Callithrix jacchus: one gene and its partner. The protein of the gene in region 1 purifies or fractionates together with the protein of each later gene. This does not show direct contact. Links are inferred from orthologs where the notes say so. Each region holds a gene or a part of one and is shown on either strand. Other genes may lie near its edges.

Region 1 (10,086 bases):
CCGAGATGTCAGCACGCTTGACCACTGAAGCACCTGTAACTTCATTATGATCTCATCTCTATGTTAAATGACATTCCTGCCAGCTGCATGACAGTTGACAATTACCATGACAATGACCAGAAGAAACCATAAAAGGACAAAAAGTAATGTGGCACTCTGGTTTCCAAGTTCTTCACACACCCCTAGAAAAAAACACGAATATTCCTCTCCTTGCTTTTTCTTTTTTGCAACGAAGTCTCACTGTTGCCCAGGCTGGAGTGCAGTGGTGTAATCCGGGCTCACTGCAACCTCCGTCTCCCAGATTCAAGTGATTCTTCTGCCTCAGCCCTCCCAAGTAGCTGGGATTACAGGCGCCCACCACCACACCTGGCTAATTTTTGTATTTTAGTAGAATAGAGATGGGGTTTCACCATGTTCCCCAGGCTGGTCTGGAACTCCTGAGCTCAAGCAATCTGCCTGCCTCAGCCTCCCAAAGTGCTGGGATTACAGGTGTAAGCCACTGCACCTGGCCCCACCCCTTGCTTTTAATACCCATCCCCTTCATCAAAGATGCCCTATAACTGTGACTTCCCGGCTCTTAGGAGCTGAGAAATTGATTTGTGACCCACGCTCCTGCTTCTCAATTCCATGGTCATGGAATAAAACCTGCACTGCCTGATGCTCACTTTCAGTTTCGCATCTTGGCTTCATGACCTAGAAGAGAGAAAAACTCCCTCTTCAAGGGACCACCTTTGTCATTAACATTATTATGAAGATACTTACACAAGTGTTTTTGTGGATTTATGTGTTTATTTCCCTTGGGCAACTGCCTGGGAGTGAAAGTACAGGGTGTTTAAAAGAAACTACAAAAGAGTTTTCTAATGTGAGTATATACCGAGCACCAGCTCAGTCGGGAGACCCCACCCAGGCAGTGCTGAAGGTAACGAGAGGCAGACATCCAGACAGAACAGCAGAGTGGATCTATCCGTGGGGCCAACAGCCTGAGAGCCTCAGGGGCTGACGGCATTCCAGGATGAAGGCCCCGAGCAGATTCTCATCAACGTTATTTATTCTCTCTTAAACAGGTGTTCTGTATTTACTCATAACTCAAAAAATATACCAAGTAGGCAGCTCTTATCCACCTACCACTAATTACAAACCAAAAGGTATCTTCCACGGAGGAGCCATGAGGCCGGGGTAAACTTAATGTTTCTCAGGTATGCCAGTTTATATTCCTATTATTAGCACATGAGAGTTCGATGGCTCTGTATCTCCACAATATGTAGTATCATTGACGTTTTTAAGTTTAGCCATTCTAGCGGGTATTCAGTGTTTCTCATTGTGAGTTTAATTTGCATTGGCCACGAGGTATACATATTACCAGTATTTTTTCCCAGTCTATGGCTTATCTTTAATTCCTTTCACTGCCTTTCCATAGGCCACAGCTTGTAATTTTGTTGAAATTCACTGTCTTTTTTAATGATCTGTTTTTTGTGTCCCAAGAAAACGTTGCCAACCCCAAAGCTATAGTCTTCTGTTTTCTTCTTGAAGCTTTATAGTTTCCACTTTTCCATTTTGTATTAATTTTGAGAAATTTGAGAAATTTTGAATTAAGTTTCTGCTTATGATGGAAGGTAGGGGCAAGGGCGAGTTTTTGTCTTACATTCTTGATCCAGTTGTTCCAACACCATTTGTTGAAAAGAATTTTCTTTCTTCATTAAACCGCACTGGTGTCGTGCTGTATTTCTAAAATGTTAAATTTCATTCCTCAGTTGCACTAGGCAAATATCATGTACTCAAGAGCTACATGTGTCTTCTGGCTACTGTATCAGCACAGATATAAAGTATTTCCAAGTTTTATGGGACAGCACTTAGCTCTAGACCTTAGGGAACAGTGCCTAATAAATATTTTCAATTCTGTGACAGGTAATCTAAACCAAATAACGCAGTAAGGGCAGATATAAGGAAGGTAAAAATCAGTCCCTGACCTTTTGTAGGTACCTAGGGAGGTCAAATTCATAGAGACGAAGAGTAGAACGGCAGTTGCCCGAAGTGGGAGACTATAGAGTTATTGTTTAATCGGTACAGAGCTTCGGTTTTGTGACAGTTGCAAAACCATGTGAATATAGTTAATGCTACAGACACTACACACGGAAAATTTTTAAATGGTAGATTTAGTGTTTTACCAATATTTTAAGAAGTTTTTTCAAAATGGCCATTCCTGAGCTGGGCATGTGGTTCACGCCTGTAATTGCAGCAACTTGGAGGCTCAGGCGGGAAGAGAGCTTGACACCAAGATTTCCAGACCAGGCTGGGCAACATAGTGAGACCCCATGTATCATTTTTTTAAAAATTAACTGGGCGTGGTGGCATGCATCTATAGTACTAGCTACTTGGGAGGCTGAGGCAGAAGTATTGCTTGAGCCCAGGAATTCGAGGCTGCAGTGAGCTATTATGGCGCCACTGCACTCCAAGCTGGGTAACAGAGCAAGAACCCGTCTCAAAAGATAATAAAAAAGGCTTTTTATTCCCGGCTGGTGTTCATTACAAGTGAGGAAACAATTGGCGTTACTGGCAATGACTGACTTAATTCTCTCTGGTGTAACTCAGGGACATCTAACATCTCTTTTTATTTACAGAGGAGATATTGGAGCCCAGAGGCTGACTTAATGTGTCTACCCTAGAATATTTCCAGCGGATACTCTTCAGCCAAGAGAAGAACAATTTGAAGTTATTCTCTTGTGATGTGTTATCCACACATGCATTGTAATACGGATGATTTTATTTATTTGGTTATGGTAACATAACAAACCAGCACCAGGAGCGGTCACTGTTTTTTAAATAAAAGTGATCTTTAAAAGTCTATCTGTTGCCAGTGCAGGGTGCCCAAGTTCTTGGCATTTTGAACAAAGAATTGGACAAAACTCATAAACAAAGCAAGGATAGAATGAAACAACAAAAGCAAAGATTTGTTGAAAATGAAAGTACACTCCATTGGGGCTCAAGGGCCCTGTTACAGCATTTCTAGAGGTTTAAAGACCCTCCGGAGGATTCCACTGGTTACTTGTTGTATGCCCTATGTAAATGAAGAGAATGAGGTAAAGTTACAGCCATTTGCTCGGCATACACCCTGTGGAGAGGATACTTCCTGTTAGAGCTGAGGTGTGCATCGGCCTATGTTCCCGGCCTCCAGGCCCTATTTTCCTGCCTCAAATCTCTAATACTTGGTTTTGATGATTTAGCTGTTGATCAACGCATATATTAAATAGTTTTGTAAAGCATAGACTATACTGTGTATTAATTCAAGGAACGTCAGGGCATGTATGAATGCTGAAGTCTGAGAATCATGTGCTTTTGTACAGAACAAAGTCTGTTGAAATGTTTTGAGTTAAAATTCTCCCTAAAACTTCTCTACGAAAGCAATTGCAGAGTCTGTTAACTGATTTGTAGAATGGCAGTGAAAGAGGCTGTATTTGGCCGGGCGCGGTGGCTCACGCCTGTAATCCCAGCACTTTGGGAGGCCGAGGTGGGTGGATCACGAGGTCAAGATATTGAGACCATCCTGGTCAACATGGTGAAACCCCGTCTCTACTAAAGATACAAAAACTTAGGCCGGCATGGTGGTGCATGCCTGTAATCCCAGCTACTCAGGAGGCTGAGGCAGGAGAATTGCCTGAACCCAGGAGGCGGAGGTTGCGGTGAGCCGAGATCGTGCCATTGCACTCCAGCCTGGGTAACAAGAGCTAAACTCCATCTCAAAAAAAAAAAGAAAGAGGCTGTATTATTCAATTTGAACACACTTACATTTGCAGCTTAATGAAAATACTCTTGCTCTGCAGAGATGAAATGTTAGTGAGAGCAGCAAATCATCTATTTGTATATGCTCAATTTGCATATTTGAGGCCATCTATTAATACTGCTCTTTAGGACCTCAACCTAACCATCTAAGACATTCTTGTTAAATGAGACCAATATACATCATTTAATATTGAAAATATTAATACTCTTCAGAACCTCTCAAAAAATAAAAATTAAAAATTGGAAGCTTTGTAACGTTTTGCAGTTTTAAAAAAAATACTTGGTTTCAAATTAGCGGGTGCCTCATTTATCATAAATTATAAAAGAGAATCTAACAATTATTGATTACATTCTAGGCACGGGGTAGTGATTTATTAATTATTCTTCTAATAAAAAAATACACATATTTAAGCATCCTATGTAACATATCATTCAACCCCACAAAACCCTGTAAAATATTGGCAGGGCGCAGTGGCTCACGCCTGTAATCCCAGCACTTTGAGAGGCCGAAGGAGGAGGATCATTTGAGCCCCCAGTAGTTCGAGACCAGCCTGGCAACAATAGTGAGACCTCGTTCTTCACCATCAAATCCCGGAGTATTAATTTCTACTTCTGTTAGAGCAGGCAACGAAAGGAAAGCTCGCGATATTTCACAAACTACTACTCCCAACATGCAAAGCGGTTTCCTTCCTCGGTCTTGGCCCGGCTGTCCGAGAGCCCCAGCAGGCCTCGGGGCGCGAAAGGCAACCCGGGAACCGTAGTTCTCCAGGGCGCCTAGCGGGATCGCCAGCGCGGCAGTGGGGCTTCCGCGGCTCCCAGCCAGCGGGTCCTGTGAACGCGAGCAGAGGCGGAGAAAGGGCGCGGAAGTGAGAGAGGGTGAGTCAGCCACTGTCTACGCGATAAAGGGAGGCCTCACCGCGGGGTAGGCAGAATTCAGGAGTCAGGTCCGTGCCGCAGTCTGTTCCAGGAAGCGGCTTGTGTTAGCGTCAGCGAGGGAAGGGTGAGGAGGAGCCAGAGCCGGGTCCTGCAGCCGTTCTCGCCTTCAGCGCCCGTCGCCATCTCCATCATGCAGTCCCGGGAGGACGCCCCGCGCTCTCGCCGCCTCGCCAGTCCCCGCGGTGGGAGGCGGCCCAAGAGGATTTCCAAGCCCTCGGTTTCGGCCTTTTTCACGGGCCCAGAGGAATTAAAGGACACGGCCCATTCTGCAGCCCTCCTGGCCCAGCTCAAGTCCTTCTACGACGCGCGGCTGCTGTGCGATGTGACCATCGAGGTGGTAACGCCCGGCAGCGGGCCCGGCACGGGTCGCCTCTTTTCCTGCAACCGCAACGTGCTGGCAGCTGCGTGTCCCTACTTCAAGAGCATGTTCACAGGTGGCATGTACGAGAGCCAGCAGGCCAGCGTGACCATGCACGACGTGGACGCCGAGTCCTTCGAGGTGCTGGTGGACTATTGCTACACGGGTCGTGTGTCGCTCAGTGAGGCCAACGTGCAGCGCCTGTACGCGGCCTCGGACATGCTGCAGCTGGAGTACGTGCGGGAAGCCTGTGCCTCCTTCTTAGCCCGACGCCTGGACCTGACCAACTGCACCGCCATCCTCAAGTTTGCAGACGCCTTTGACCATCACAAGCTGAGGTCTCAGGCCCAGTCCTATATAGCTCACAACTTCAAGCAGCTCAGCCGAATGGGTTCGATTCGGGAGGAGACTCTAGCAGATCTGACCCTGGCCCAGCTGCTGGCTGTTCTGCGCCTGGATAGTCTGGACGTGGAGAGTGAGCGGACAGTGTGCCACGTAGCAGTGCAGTGGCTGGAGGCTGCTCCTAAAGAGCGGGGTCCCAGTGCTGCAGAAGTCTTCAAGTGCGTGCGCTGGACGCACTTCACTGAGGAAGATCAGGACTACTTAGAAGGGCTGCTGAGCAAGTCCTTAGTGAGGAAGTACTGCCTGGGCGTTGTTGAAGGGGCCCTGCAGATGCGCTATGGCGACCTGCTGTACAAGTCTCTGGTGCCAGTGCCAAACAGCAGCAGCAGCAGCGGCAGCAGCGGCAGCAGCAGCAGCAGCAGTGGCAGCAGCAGCAGCAACAGCAGCAACAACAACTCTGTTGTACCTGCAGCAGAAAATCCACCTCAGAGGCTGGGTATGTGTGCCAAGGAGATGGTGATCTTCTTTGGACACCCCAGAGATCCGTTTCTCTGCTATGACCCTTACTCGGGGGACATTTACACAATGCCGTCACCTTTAACCAGCTTTGCTCACACTAAGACTATCACCTCCTCAGCTGTCTGTGTCTCCCCAGATCATGACATCTACCTAGCTGCCCAGCCCAGGAAAGACCTCTGGGTGTATAAACCAGCTCAGAATAGTTGGCAGCAACTTGCAGATCGCTTGCTGTGTCGCGAGGGCATGGATGTGGCATACCTCAATGGCTACATCTACATTTTGGGGGGACGAGACCCTATTACTGGAGTTAAATTGAAGGAAGTGGAATGCTACAGTGTTCAGAGAAACCAGTGGGCATTGGTGGCTCCTGTCCCTCATTCCTTCTATTCTTTTGAACTCATAGTGGTTCAGAACTATCTTTATGCTGTCAACAGTAAGCGCATGCTCTGCTATGATCCTAGCCACAATATGTGGCTAAACTGTGCTTCTCTTAAACGCAGTGACTTTCAGGAAGCGTGTGTCTTCAATGATGAAATCTATTGTATCTGTGACATCCCAGTCATGAAGGTCTACAACCCAGCTAGGGGAGAATGGAGGCGGATTAGTAATATTCCTTTGGATTCAGAAACTCACAACTACCAGATTGTCAATCATGAGCAAAAGTTGCTGCTCATCACTTCTACAACCCCACAATGGAAAAAGAACCGAGTGACAGTGTATGAGTATGATACTAGGGAAGATCAGTGGATTAATATAGGTACCATGTTAGGCCTTTTGCAGTTTGACTCTGGCTTTATTTGCCTTTGTGCTCGAGTTTATCCTTCCTGCCTCGAACCTGGTCAGAGTTTCATTACTGAGGAAGATGATGCACGGAGTGAGTCTAGTACTGAATGGGACTTAGATGGATTCAGTGAACTGGACTCTGAGTCAGGAAGTTCAAGTTCTTTTTCAGATGATGAAGTCTGGGTGCAGGTAGCACCTCAGCGAAATGCACAGGATCAGCAGGGCTCTTTGTAAATAGTATTTTGAGACACTAAGATGTTTCTACTGCTATGGAATGTATGTTAAAAAGATATCCTCTCTTTTTCTTGGGAAAAAAAGGTTGATTACGACCACAGATTTGGTTTAGAAAGGGTAACATTTTGAAATACTACAGGGTTTAAACAGTCCCTGAAACCAACCCGTTTAATAATTTACTGTGCTGAAAGTCCAAAATTAAAATATGCAAACAAGAACTATATAATTGGTTGGGATGCTTGGTAGGCTTTTTCCTGGTTCAGGTATTCATCCCACAGTGGACTGTTTTGATTAGTGGGCTTATTTTTTTTTTAATTCAGTCTTCTGTTAATTTTTAAGTTTTCTTTAGTGCCACAAAGAATTTATCTTTTAAATCTGTATAATAGAAAACTGGACTAGGGATTGTTGATGGCGTTTTGAAGGATGAGTACTTTCAAAATAATGAAAGTGGTAGATTTTCAAAATCTTAAACTAGTCAGTTCTTTATATTCTAAGTTAAATATAGTTTGTAAAATTATTTTGGTTTTCTTCTACAAAGGAAAAAAATTGGATATATGTATGTTAAGGTTACTGAATAGTGATTTCATTTTGATAATGTGCAGAATGGCCTCACAAGCACACAGAAAGTAAAAAAAAAGGATTCCACACCCTTCTAAACCAAACCAAAACAAAACACAAGGTAACTTGCTTTTTACATTTGTATTTTTAATCCATGCCCATTACACGCTTTATTGAGTCAGAGGAACAATTCCTGAACATATAATTGGGTAATGTAAATTTTTATCCATTGGTCATGGCTTGTCTTAAAATGTTTATTTGCCTCCGTAAAATATTTTGGCTGTATAGGTTTGGTGTTTGTCCTAAAGGATTCTTCAACAAAAAGTGATTTATTCATTACTGTTTTCGTGAGATAATATGGTTTAGAACATACGTATAAGCTAAAAACAGTATTTTACACAGATCAGTAGTTATTGTGTCTATCAGCTATAAAACAAGTGCCAGCAAAGAACTTTAAAACTTTAAGCTGTGTATTATAGAACTGTTTTGTGTAGCATTGGAATATTGTCCATTTTGTAAGTCACTGTAAATGTTCTTAATTATCAGCTTGAAAGTATTTTTGTATGAAAAGTTGACACTGAACAACCTAAGTGGATGATGGCATTTGGGGCCAGTAGTGAAAGTATGTTTCCTCTAAAATATTTCCCTAAACAGTGGTATACATAGTTTTTTTATTGAGATTTGTATATGTTCTGTGTTTCTCTGTGAACATGTTTCAGTCTCTGTCACCATATGTAAGGGAAAGTCCATAAATATAGACTAAATTGCACAAAACTGACATTGTTAATTACAGGAAATATAGGTGCTTACCTTTTGAAGGTTTATTAACACATATGGTTGTCACGACACATATAAATGGTGTACATATACAGATGTTTATGGTGTATAAATTTTTCTATATCCAATTAGAATTATCTTCCTGATTCTATATTCAATAACATGCTAATTCCTCTTCTATGTTTATTCTCTAGTGACAGAATGCTAACTTTTCTTACAGCCTGGCAGAGGACAGTCTGGTCTAGGATGGGGAACTGAATTTCTGAATGAATAAAAAGGAAAGGGAAAGGATAAACAAAACAAAGCACAATAGTGTTTCTCAGTCATTTTGATTGGCCATTTGAACAACCTACGAGACCTTCCTGTTTATTTCTAGTGAAGTAATATGCCTGCCCTAGCAGTGTATGTGTCTTCAAAAGGGTAAACATGCTTTAGCAACCTAAGAGTAAATTTTGTTCATTTGACATCAGGGATGTTATAAGTACTGCACTTAATACAAAGCTATTTCTCAATTGTGTTATTTTTGAGCCAAATTTTTCTTCACCATTAACTTCTTGTTGGTAGCTTTTTGTTTTGTAAAAATTGAGGATGACAGTGCCTATCTCAACCAGATTATCCATCTGCAGAATTAAAGTCTGCAACTGAGAAACACAAGACAAATGCTCCAATTTGTCTTTCTCAACCTTTGAATTAAAGCCTAGCCTACATAGAGGGAATGACTTGGTTTACAGTGAGGTTTTCTTTGGAAGGGATTTTGGTTTTGTGATATATTTGTGAATTAAGGAGTAGATGTTAGCCTTATTTCATAGATAAGTTATTTGTACATGGTTGGTTATAAATAAAACTGGTACTAGAACCCAGATTTCCTGACTTTCTGATTCAGTGGTTCTGCTAAATGTATAAAATTCTTGCTGTGCAGCGATCTAGCAGTGTTGAAAGATCTTCATGACAAAAACCCTTTTGTAAGTTTTCCAATTAATCAGTTCATCATTTAACAAGTGCTCACTATAATGTCATTTGTAGGACTGCCATTGGTAAGATTTAGTTTTATTTCATACGCTTTTAAATTCAAACAATAAGTAATTGTTTTCAAAAAAGTAAAATAGAAGACTAATTTAGCAAATAACTTGTTTAAATTTAGTTTTAGGATTTAGTTTAAGTTATAATAGCCCCTTCATGTCTCTTCTAGTTGAGCAGTAGTTTTCTGTTTTGGTGCCTGGATCTTAATAGAGAATATGATGAACACTTTTGACCCATTCTTCAGGAAAATGCATATGTTCATATTTTCATAATTTTAAGGGTATAATGACATTTCTGAAGTTCATCCACACACCCAGGGTAAAAAACGCTTGTGACAAGGTTTTGTCTACAAAAAGAAATTAGCATTTTTCACAAGACATTTTTCAAATGTTTGTAGGGTGAAAGAGTAATTCCCAAAATAGGGCTAAAGAAATAATACACATTCACCATCTGAAAGAAATGTGGAAATGAGTACCTCAGAACAAAGGCAAAGTTGACATTTCTGAAATTCAAATTTCCTCATGATTAATGCAAAAAGGAGTAATGAAATATAAACTCTTCAGAGGACAAAGTGCACTCATGTATATGAAACCTCTGAACCTTAACTGTTACACAAATGTAAGCGATAATGATTATTGCCCAAGAAGGCTGTGTATATTAGGATTTAAAGAAAAATACATGTTTGTTCAGATGTTTAGAACTACTGACATCACGGCTCTTTATTATAAATATATCTTAAGTAGCAAAAGTTCATTGTCTCTTCATAAATAGGAAAACAAGTG
Region 2 (9,936 bases), on another chromosome or scaffold:
GATGCATCCAGCCCGGGACCAGAGCCCACAGGTGAGCCCCACCTACCCCCTCGGCCCCTGGGAAACACCAAGGAATCTTTGGGTCCTGGCTGTCCAGTCCAGAAGCCACTAGCCACAGGCAGCCATTTATATGTACGTTAAAATCCAGGCTGGGCGCTGTGGCTCACGCCTGTAATCACAGCACTTTGGGAGGCCAAGGCGGGCAGTCACGAGGTGAAGAGATTGACACCATCCTGGCCAACATGATGAAACCATGTTTCTGCTAAGAATACAAAATTTAGGGCCTGGCACAGTGGCTCATGCCTATATTCCCAGCACTTTGGGAGGCGGAGCAGGTGATCACCCGAGGTCGGGAATTTGAGACCAGCCTGACCAACATGGTGAAACCCCATCTTAACTGAAAATATAAAAATGAGCCAGGTGTGGTGGCAGATGCCTGGTAATGCCAGCTACTCAGGAGGCTGAGGCAGGAGAATAGCTTAAACTCGGGAGGTGGAGGTTGCAGTGAGCCGAGATCACGCCACTGCACTCCAACCTGGGCAACAGAGCAAGACTCTGTCTCCACAAAAGAAAATTTTAATTGAGGCCAAGTGTGGTAGCTTATGCCTGTAACCCTAGAACTTTGGGAGGCCAAGGTAAGAGAACTGCTTGATCCTAAGGGTTCAAGACCAGTGTGGGTAGCCGGGCTCAGTGGCTCAGGCCTGTAATCCCAGCACTTTGGGAGGCCGAGGCGGGCGGATCATGAGGTCAAGAGATCAAAACCATCCTGGTCAAAATGGTGAAACCCCCTCTCTACTAAAAATACAAAAATTAGGGCATAGTGGCGCACGCCTGTAGTCCCAGCTACTCAGGAGGCTGAGGCAGGAGAATCACTTGAACCCAGGAGACAGAGGTTCCAGTGAGCCAAGATCACGCCACTGCACTCTAGCCTGGCGACAGAGCAAGACTCTGTCTCAAAAAAAAAAAAAAAACAGTGTGAGCAACATAGTGACACCCTGTCTCAACAAAAAATTTTTAAAATTAGCCAGGTGTGGTGGTGCATACCCACAGTCCCAGCTACTCGGGAGGCTGAGCGGGGAGGATTGCTTGAGCCTGCAAGTTAGAGGCTGCATGAGCTGTGATGGCTGCACTGCACTCCAGCCTCTGTGACAGGGTGAGACCTTGTCTCAAAAAATTTTATTTTTTTGAGGGGGATGGAATTTAACTCTTGTTGCCCAGGCTGGAGTGCAATGGCAAAATCTTGGCTCACTGCCGTTTCCACCTCCTGGGTTCAAGTGATTCTCTTGCCCCTCAGCCTCCCGAGTAGCTGGGATTACAGGCAGCCGCCACCACACCTGGCTCATTCAGTATTTTTGGTAGAGACGGGGTTTGCCATGTTGGCCAGGTTGGTCTCAAACTCCCCACCTCAGGTGATCACTCTCCTCAGCCTCCTAAAGTGCTGGGATTACAGGTATGAGCCCGGCAAAAAAACAACTTTAAATCCATGTCCTCACCCACACCTGCCACATTTCATGTGCACAGTGACCACATATGGCCAGTGGCTGCTTCGTGGGACAGTTCAGATATAGAATGTTTCCAATACCACGGAAAGCTCTATCCTGGAAACTTGCATTCAACAGTACAGGTCTAGACCAGGGTTTCTTGATCTCGGCTCTACTGACATTTTAGGGCCAGGTGGTTCTGTGCTGGGGAGACACTGGGATGTTTATTTCACAGCACCCCGGCCTCTCCCCTCTGGATGCCAACAGTACCCTCCCCAGGGCTGTGACATCCCAAAATGTTTCCAGATATTGCCAGGTGTCTCCTGGGGACAGAACCACTCCCAGCTAGACAGCATGGGGCTAACGCCTATAATCCCAGCACTTTGGGAGGCCAAGGTGGGCCGATCACCTGAGGTCAGGAGTTCAAGACTGGCCTGGCCAACATGCTGATAACACATCTCTACTAAAAATAGAAAAATTAACTGGGTGTGGTGGCACATGCCTGTAATCCCAGCTACTTGGGAGGCTGAGGCAGGAGAATCACTTATCGCTTGAACCCCAGAGGCAGAGGTTGCAGTGAGCTGAGATCGTGTCACTGCACTCCAGTCTGGGCAATAGAGCAATACCCAAAAAAAAGAAAAAAAAAAAAAAAAACCACTCCCAGCTGAGAACTACAGGCCTGGCCCACTGAGCACAGCTCCATTCCACAGATGGGAAGACTGAGGGGCTGGGGACACACACAAGCCCTGAGCATCTTCCTCTTGCAGAGCCGGAGCCTCCAGCAGAAGGGAAGGAGACTGCCTCGCTGGAGAAGGAGGCCCCCCAGACGCAGGGCAAACGCATCAAAGTGGAGCCCGTCCCGAGGGAAACCGAAGGCTCAGAGGACAGTGGTGACGAGGATCCCTCCGGCCACCCGGCCCCACCCCGGCCCGAGTTCACCTCTGTCATCCGGGCGGGGGCCCTGAAGCAGGACCCAGTGCGGCCGTGGGGCCTGACACCTCCCGGGGACCCCCCGCCCACCCTCCTGCATGCGGGCTTCCTGCCGCCCGTGGTGCGGGGTCTGTGCACACCCGGTGCCATCCGCTATGGCCCGGCGGAGCTGGGCCTGGTGTACCCGCATCTGCAGAGGCTGGGCCCAGGCCCCGCGCTCCCAGAGGCCTTTTACCCGCCCCTGGGCCTGCCCTATCCGGGGTCTGCGGGCACCAGGCTGCCGCGGAAGGGGGACTGAGGACTGGCAGAGCCGCCGGCGCTGGACACTGCGACGGCTGGGGGCCCCCTGGGATGGCGGCCCTGCTCTGCCCGTAGCCCTGAGAATTAAAGGCCGGCTCCCCTTGCAGTGGTTTGGGCTCCTGGCTGTGAGCTCCTCTGTCCGTTTCTGGCTCCCCGCGGGTCCTCGTCTCCCTCTCCCGCCTCCCGGGTTAGTCCGCTCCTGGCTGCCCTTCCCCAAGGAACACGAACCAGCACTCGGCATCTGGAGGAGGGGAGGTCAGGTTTTAATGTCCCAGTCCTCGGGCGCCGCCGTCCAGCGCCTGCCAAGCCCCGCGGCCGTGTGGCTCACTCAGGTGGTGGCCGACCCGCATCATCAGGGCCTTCCGCGGAGGCCGCCCCGTCGTCCTCGGGTACCAGCTCCACGTCCAGCTCCAGCTGCCCCATGTAGAGGCCCACGGCGCACGCCCAGAGCAGGCTGGCGGCCAGCACGGCGCCCACGCCCGCGGCCGCGCCCCCCAGCGTCAGCTGCATGGGTCCTCGCAGCGCCGCCAGGCCCACTGTGTACGAGGCGCTGCCCCACACCACGCACAGGCCGCCCAGCAGGAAGAAGCCTGCGGGAGAGGCAGGGTAGTGCCAGGCCCAAGGTCGCGGGGTTGGGAGAGGAAAAGGTATCGGGGTGTGGGGGATGGTCTGGAGCGGAGACAGGAATAGTGGTAGGGGCTGGACTGCACCTTTAAGAATCAGATCGGAGGGGAGGGGACCATAGCCATGTCCTGGGCCACCCACTTGTGGGCCTAGTGCCCATGGGAGGGGTGTCATCTGGTAGGGGAAGAATGGGGGTTCTGTACTTACTACCGGGGATAGGATGGGGAGAGAGTCTATCCTAACCAGGGCAGGGGGCAGGGGCTGTGCATTCCTGGATCCCTGAGGGGGGGCAAGAGGGGGCGTCTGCACTCACCATAGGCTGCTTCCCGACCCATGTCACTCTGCATGAAGGAGATGACCCCGATGCCCGATGCCAGGAGGCCATTTCGGAACCAGGAGAGGAAGGCTGCAGGGAGGGGGTATGGGGGGATTAGCATCACCTGCAACCCTACCTCAATCCCCCTCACCCGCTCGAAGTAAGGGGCCTCCAGCTCCCCCACCCCGTCCAGCCACAAGGCAAGCCCACCCCAAATCCTCATCTCTTCCAGTAAGCCCCTCACCTAACCACATCCCCCACACCCTCTCTGGCCACCACTTTAGAGCCCTTCTCCCCCAAACTCTGCAACACTAAGGATTCAAGGGCTGGGCGCAGTGGCTCACACCCGTAGATCCCAGCACTTTGGGAGGCCAAGGCAGGCAGATCATGAGTCAGGAGTTTGAGACCAGCCTGCCAACACAGTAAATCCCCCGTCTCTACTAAAAATACACAAATTAGTTGGGTGTGGTGGCACACGCCTGTAGTCCCAGCTACTCCGGAAGCTGAGGCAGGAGACTCACTTGAACCCGGGAAGCAGATGTTGCAGTGAGGCGAGATCCTGCCACTGAACTCCAGCCTGGGTGACAGAGCAGGACACTGCCTCAAAATAAAAAGGATTCAAGATGATGGTTCCTGCAGAATATGGGGAAAAATCTAGGACCAAAGTGGCTGAACCTCCAGACTCTTAGAAGCCATCTTGGGGTTGGGCGCGGTGGCTCACGCCTGTAATCCCAGCACTTTGGGAGGCCAAGTGGGCGGATCACGAGGTCAGGAGATCGAGACCATCCTGGCCAACATGGTGAAACCCCGTCTCTACTAAAAATACAAAAATTAGCCGGACATGGTGGCACGTGCCTCTGGTCCCAGCTACTCGGGAAGCTGAGGCAGAAGAATCGCTTGAAACCAGGAAGCAGAGGTTGCAGCGAGCCGAGATTGCACCACTGCACTCCAGACTGGTGACAGAGCAAGACTCCATCTCAAAAAAAAAAAAAAGCCATCTTGGTCAACCCCTTCCCTCTACGTGTACCCCCACAGCCTGTCAGCTCACTTCTTTCTCAGAACTCTGGGACAAACTGTTTCCTAACCCAAGCTGCTCCCTAGCCTCGCCCTGCCTTTCCTTCAAATGCCACCATCTCCTACCGAGTATGGCCTGGACCAATCCCATCCACGTCCATCTCCATTCAAGTCCCTGGTGTGGACAGCCCACTACATCCTATATCTAGATGCCCAGTCCTGGCCAGGTGAGGTGGCTCATGCCTGTAATCCCAGCACGTTGAGAGGCCAAGGCGGGAGGACTGTCTAAGACCAAGAGTTCGAGACCAGCCTGGGCAAAAAAGCAAGACCCCATCTCTACCTAAATTAAAATAGCCAGGCGCGGTGGCTCACGCCTGTAATCCCAGCACTTTGGGAGCCCGAGGCAAGCAGATCACCTGAGGTCGCGAGTTCAAGACCAGCCTAACATGGAGAAACCCCGTTTCTACTAAAAATACAAAATTAGCAGGGCGTGGTGGTGCATGCCTGTAATCCCAGCTACTCAGGAGACTGAAGCAGGAAAATAAAAAAATTAAAATAAATAAAAACAAAGAGACTGAAGCAGGAGAATCACTTGAACCTGGGAGGCAGAGGTTGCAGTGAGCCAAGATTGCGCCACTGCACTCCAGCCTGGGCAACAAGAGAGAAACTCCGTCTCAAAAAAAAAAAAAAAAAAAAAAAAATTAAAATAGTTGGGCGCAGTGGTGTGTGCCTGTAGCTCCTTAGCTCAGCTAAGCAGGAGGCTGAGGCAGGAGGATGGTTGAGCCCACGAGTTCAAGGCTGCAGTGCGCTACCGTTGCACCACCGCACTCCAGCCCAGGTGACAGAGCAAGGCACTGTAATTTGAAACATTTTTTTAAAAGATAGCTAGTCTGCTCCATTCGGGACCTCGCCTCCGATACAAGCCCCTCCCCCTGCAGCCTAGATCACCTCCCCTTCCAATCAGCTGAGAGGTTTTTCCCTATTGGTTTCCCCTCCTCCAATCCAGAGCTTCCCCCTCTTCTGCGAGGATCCACACTCCCGCTCTCTGCACAGTGGTGGCCCCTGCAATCAGAACGGATCCTTCTTGTATACAACTCCACAGACTCTAAGCTCTCCCTGGAAGCCCCTCTCTTCACGGCAGGCGCGATTCTATGAGGCTGCCTCCAGCAACCCGACAACCCCCTCCCATCTCTACTGCGCCCGGTTACCCGGGGTCTCCGTCCTCCCCGCAAGCCCGTCCTCTCTGCGGGCACCTGCGCTTCCCTGCGCTCACACGGAAGCCCTTCCCGCAGCCGAACCCGGGCCCCGTTTCCTGCAGAAGTCCCCACCCCGTCCCATCCACACCGCCCCCAACCCCAGCAACTGACCTGTCTCGTGCGCCTTCCGGAGGAGCCAGGCGTCTGCACGGTCCAGCTCGGACACCGGGGGCGGCGAAGCCCCGGCGCGGGGGCCGTGGCCAGGAGCAACGGACCCCCGAGCACCCCCGCTCCGGGGCCGCTGAGGCGGCAGTAACGACCTCCGGAAGCGGAGACGGGCCAGCCGGGCGGCCCGAGCCCACCACCAGCCGCCTCCCATGGTTCGCACTACTGCCGCTGCGCGCCGTACCGCCCCACGGGTCTCTGGTAGGTTGCAACCCGCGTCACTCAGGATAAACGGCTTATCCATTGGCCATGCGCTCGCCATTCAGGCCCGGCTCGAACTGTCCATTGGTTGGAATGATAGCGATTCCCCCCTTCTGTCATCTAGGCCGGTAGTGTGCGTCCCTCCTTGATTTTGTCACTGGACTACGAATCCCAGAAATCATTGCACTCGGGGAAGGCCGATCTTCAGAAGCCGTCAGCGAGATGTCTGCAGGGACTTGTAGTTTTTATCCTTTTTTTTTTTTTTAAACGAAGTACATGCTGAACACCTATTGTAGTTTGTATTAACAACGTTAATTCCAATGGCGAGAAAACAAAACAAAACGTGGGGCACTTAATATAGAACCTTTGCAAAATCTGCAGGATCCCAAAGAGGAGAGTAAACCTCACCAGTAATTCCCAATGAGTGATTACTACTACCATTTTGTTGTATTCCTGTCTTTTTTCTATGCAGATGTAAAATAAGATGGCACCTGACACATTAATTTTTCTTTTTTTTTTTTTTTCAAAGACAGGGTTTCACCATGTTGGCCAGGCTGGTCTTGAACTCCTCCTGATCTCAGGTGATCCGCCAGCCTAGGCTTCCCAAAGTGCTGAGATTACAGGCGGGAGCCACCACGCCCGGCCTAATTTTTCTTCACATAAAAAGATATCGTGATGATTAACCCACGGCATTAATTTGGCGTGAGCCACCACGCCTGGCCCTGCAGCTCTATTTATTATGAGACCAAAAAAAAAAAAAAAAAAAAAGACTTTAAATCTGTGTCTTTCTGATCCTGTGCACTGGGAAGCCATAGAGGATTTATGAAGAGGCAAAAAAAAAAAAAAATTGACAATATTCAATTTATGTGTTAAGAAGATCCTTCTGGGCCGCCAGACGCGGTGGTTCAAGCCTGTAATCCCAGCACTTTGGGAGGCCGAGGCGGGTGGATCACGAGGTCAAGAGATTGAGACCATCCTAGTCAACATGGTGAAACCCCGTCTCTACTAAAAGTACAAAAAATTAGCTGGGCATGGTGGCGTGTGCCTGTAATCCCAAGTACTCAGGAGGCTGAGGCAGGAGAATTGCCTGAACCCAGGAGGCAGAGGTTGCGGTGAGCCGAGATCGCACCATTGCACTCCAGCCTGGGTAACAAGAGCGAAACTCCATCTCAAAAAAAAGAAAAAGAAGAAGAAGATCCTTCTGGGCTAGGTGCGGTGGCTCACACCTGTATTCCCAGCACTTTGGAAGGCTAAGGCGGGTGGATCACCTGAGGTCAGGAGTTCAAGAACTGTCTGACCAACATGGTGAAACCCCTTCTTTATAAAAAAAAAAAAAAGAAGAAGAAGAAGTTCCTTCCGTCTGGCCGTGGTGGCTCAGGCCTGTAATCCCAACACTTTGGGGGCCTGAGGCAGGTGGATCACTTGAGGTCAGGAGTTTGGGACAAGCTTGGCCAACATGGTGAAACTCTGTCTCTACTAAAAATACAAAGATTAGCCAGGTATGGTGGTGCACACCTGTCATCCCAGTTACTCAGAGGCTGAGGCACAAGAATTACTTGAACCTGGAAGGCAGAGGTTGCAGTGAGTCGAGATCTTGCCACAGCACTCCAGCCTGAGCGACAGAGCGAGACTCCAACCCCCTCAAAAAAAAAAAAAAAAAAAAAGAGCCTTCCCTGGACATAGCAGCCTGCAGTTCCAAGAAAAAAAGGAAGAAAGAAAAATAAATAAATAAATAAATAAATAACAAGATCCTGGCTGTGCGCTGTGGCTCATGCCTGTAATCCCAGCACTTTGAGAGGCCAAATCAAGTGGACCACCAGGTCAGGAGTTTGAGACCAGCCCCAGATATGGTAAAACCATGTCTCTATTAAAAATACAAAAATTTGCTGAGTGTGATGGCAGGCGCCTGTAGTCCCAGCTACTTGGGAGGCTGAGGCAGGAGAATCGCTTGAACCCAGGAGGCGAAGTTTGCAGTGAGCCAAGATGGAGCCACTGCAGTCTAGCCTGGGCAACAGAGCAAGACTCCATCTCAAAAAAAAAAAAAAGAAGATCCTTCCGTCTCTCAATAGAGGATGTGCTGTGGCAGGGAGACATACAGGTGGATAGGTGAGCTTATCAACAGCTATCTATTTCTCTGGATCCCTCCCCTAGTCCAAATCCTTATTGTATTTCACCTAGAAAACTGAAACCAGGATGGCCAATGGTCTCCAGGCTCCCTAAGGTAGATTTCCCATTTATTAATTCAGCAAATATTTATTGAGTATCTACTGTGGGACAGGTTTTGTTTGAAGCACTGGGAATGCAGCAGCAAACAACAAAGAAATTATAAATATTCGTGTCCTGGGGGTGATGACATTCTTGGGATGGACGGAGAACCAAGAAACAATTAATGTAGGCTGCTGGTGGTGGCTCATGTCTGTAATCCAAGCACTTTGGGAGGCTGAGGCAGGTGGATCACAAGGTCAGGAGTTTGAGATCAGTCTGGTCAATATGATGAAACCCTGTCTCTACTGACAATACAAAAAGTAGCCGTGTGTGGTGGTGCATGCCTGTAATCCCAGCTACTCCAGAGGCTGAGGCAGGAGAATCACCTGAACCCAGGAGGCAGGGGTTGTGGTGAGCCGAGATCATGCCATTGGACTCCAGCCTGGGCAACAAGAGTAAAACTCTGTGTTAAAAAAATTTTTTTCAAGAAAAAATCAGTCTCTTTTTTTCTTTCTTTTTTGAGACAGGGTTTCGCTCTTGTTGCCCAGGCTGGAGTGCAATGGCACCATCTCAACTCACCTAAACTTCTGCCTCCCAGATTCAAGCAATTCTCTTGCCTCGGCCTCCCAAGTAGCTGGGATTACAGGCAGGTGCCACCAGGCCTGACTAATTTTGTATTTTTAGTAGAGACAGTTTGTCTCTATTAAAAAAAGGCTGGTCTCGAACCCGCGACCTCAGATGATCCACCCGCATCAGCCTCCCAAAGTGCTGAGATTACAGCCATGAGCCACAGTGCCCAGTCAAGATCTGTCTCTTTAAGGCAGATTTGTTTTCTCTGCCTTGACCTCTTCTGGTGTTCAGCTATTCAGCTCCACCTTCTCTCATCAGCATAAAACATTTCACCAGCCAAGAATGTGAAAAATGTGTCTGGAATATTTTCAGCTTGCACTTAATCCCATTTAAAGCTCTGCATTCATGGCCAGCCTGCGGGCTGTGCAGTGCAGTCCATTTGAACTCCCTCCTCTAGCTTAACCCCCTTGGTAGCTCCCCTACCCTTCCTCTCCATCAAATCCAAGCCCTGCCCAGTAGAAGATAAAGGAGCTGATTTCCAGAGGTGCCTGGCCCAGCAGGCCTTGTAGCCAAGGTCCCAGGGGGCAGTGGAGGGTTCTGGAAGGTCTTCCTCTCATTGGTGGGTTTAAGCTGGGGAACATCACCAGATGCACATTTAAAGCATCCTTGAAGGCTGAGCACAAGGGTTTATGTGTGTAATCTGAGTGCTTTGGGAGGCTGAGGTGGGAGGATGGCTTGAGGCCAGGAGTTCAGGACCAGCCTGGGCAACAAAATGAAACCTCATTTCGTTTTTTTTGTTGTTGTTTTTTTTTTGAGATGGAGTTTCGCTCTTGTTGCCCAGGCTGGAGTGCAATGGCGCGATCTCGGCTCACTG

What was found. The genes of interacting proteins can lie anywhere in the genome.
Region 2: the proteins of kelch repeat and BTB domain-containing protein 7 (region 1) and TMEM160 purify together in Homo sapiens (co-immunoprecipitation; 3 studies listed by BioGRID and IntAct, counting the BioPlex papers as one, with this or other methods). This does not show direct contact. The link is inferred for Callithrix jacchus from reciprocal best matches to the Homo sapiens genes KBTBD7 and TMEM160.

What each region holds. Positions count from the first base shown.
Region 1 is NC_133506.1:160,343,689-160,353,774, reverse strand, and holds kelch repeat and BTB domain-containing protein 7, read left to right. Parts: upstream 1-4,544; 5' UTR 4,545-4,843; coding exon 4,844-6,949; 3' UTR 6,950-9,144; downstream 9,145-10,086. UniProt on the Homo sapiens protein: As part of the CUL3(KBTBD6/7) E3 ubiquitin ligase complex functions as a substrate adapter for the RAC1 guanine exchange factor (GEF) TIAM1, mediating its 'Lys-48' ubiquitination and proteasomal degradation.
Region 2 is NC_133523.1:41,010,817-41,020,752, forward strand, and holds TMEM160 (transmembrane protein 160), read right to left. Parts: upstream 6,251-9,936; 5' UTR 6,241-6,250; coding exon 6,033-6,240; intron 3,742-6,032; coding exon 3,649-3,741; intron 3,302-3,648; coding exon 3,036-3,301; 3' UTR 2,954-3,035; downstream 1-2,953. Other genes in the region: NPAS1 (neuronal PAS domain-containing protein 1), read left to right, coding at 1-31, 2,249-2,709.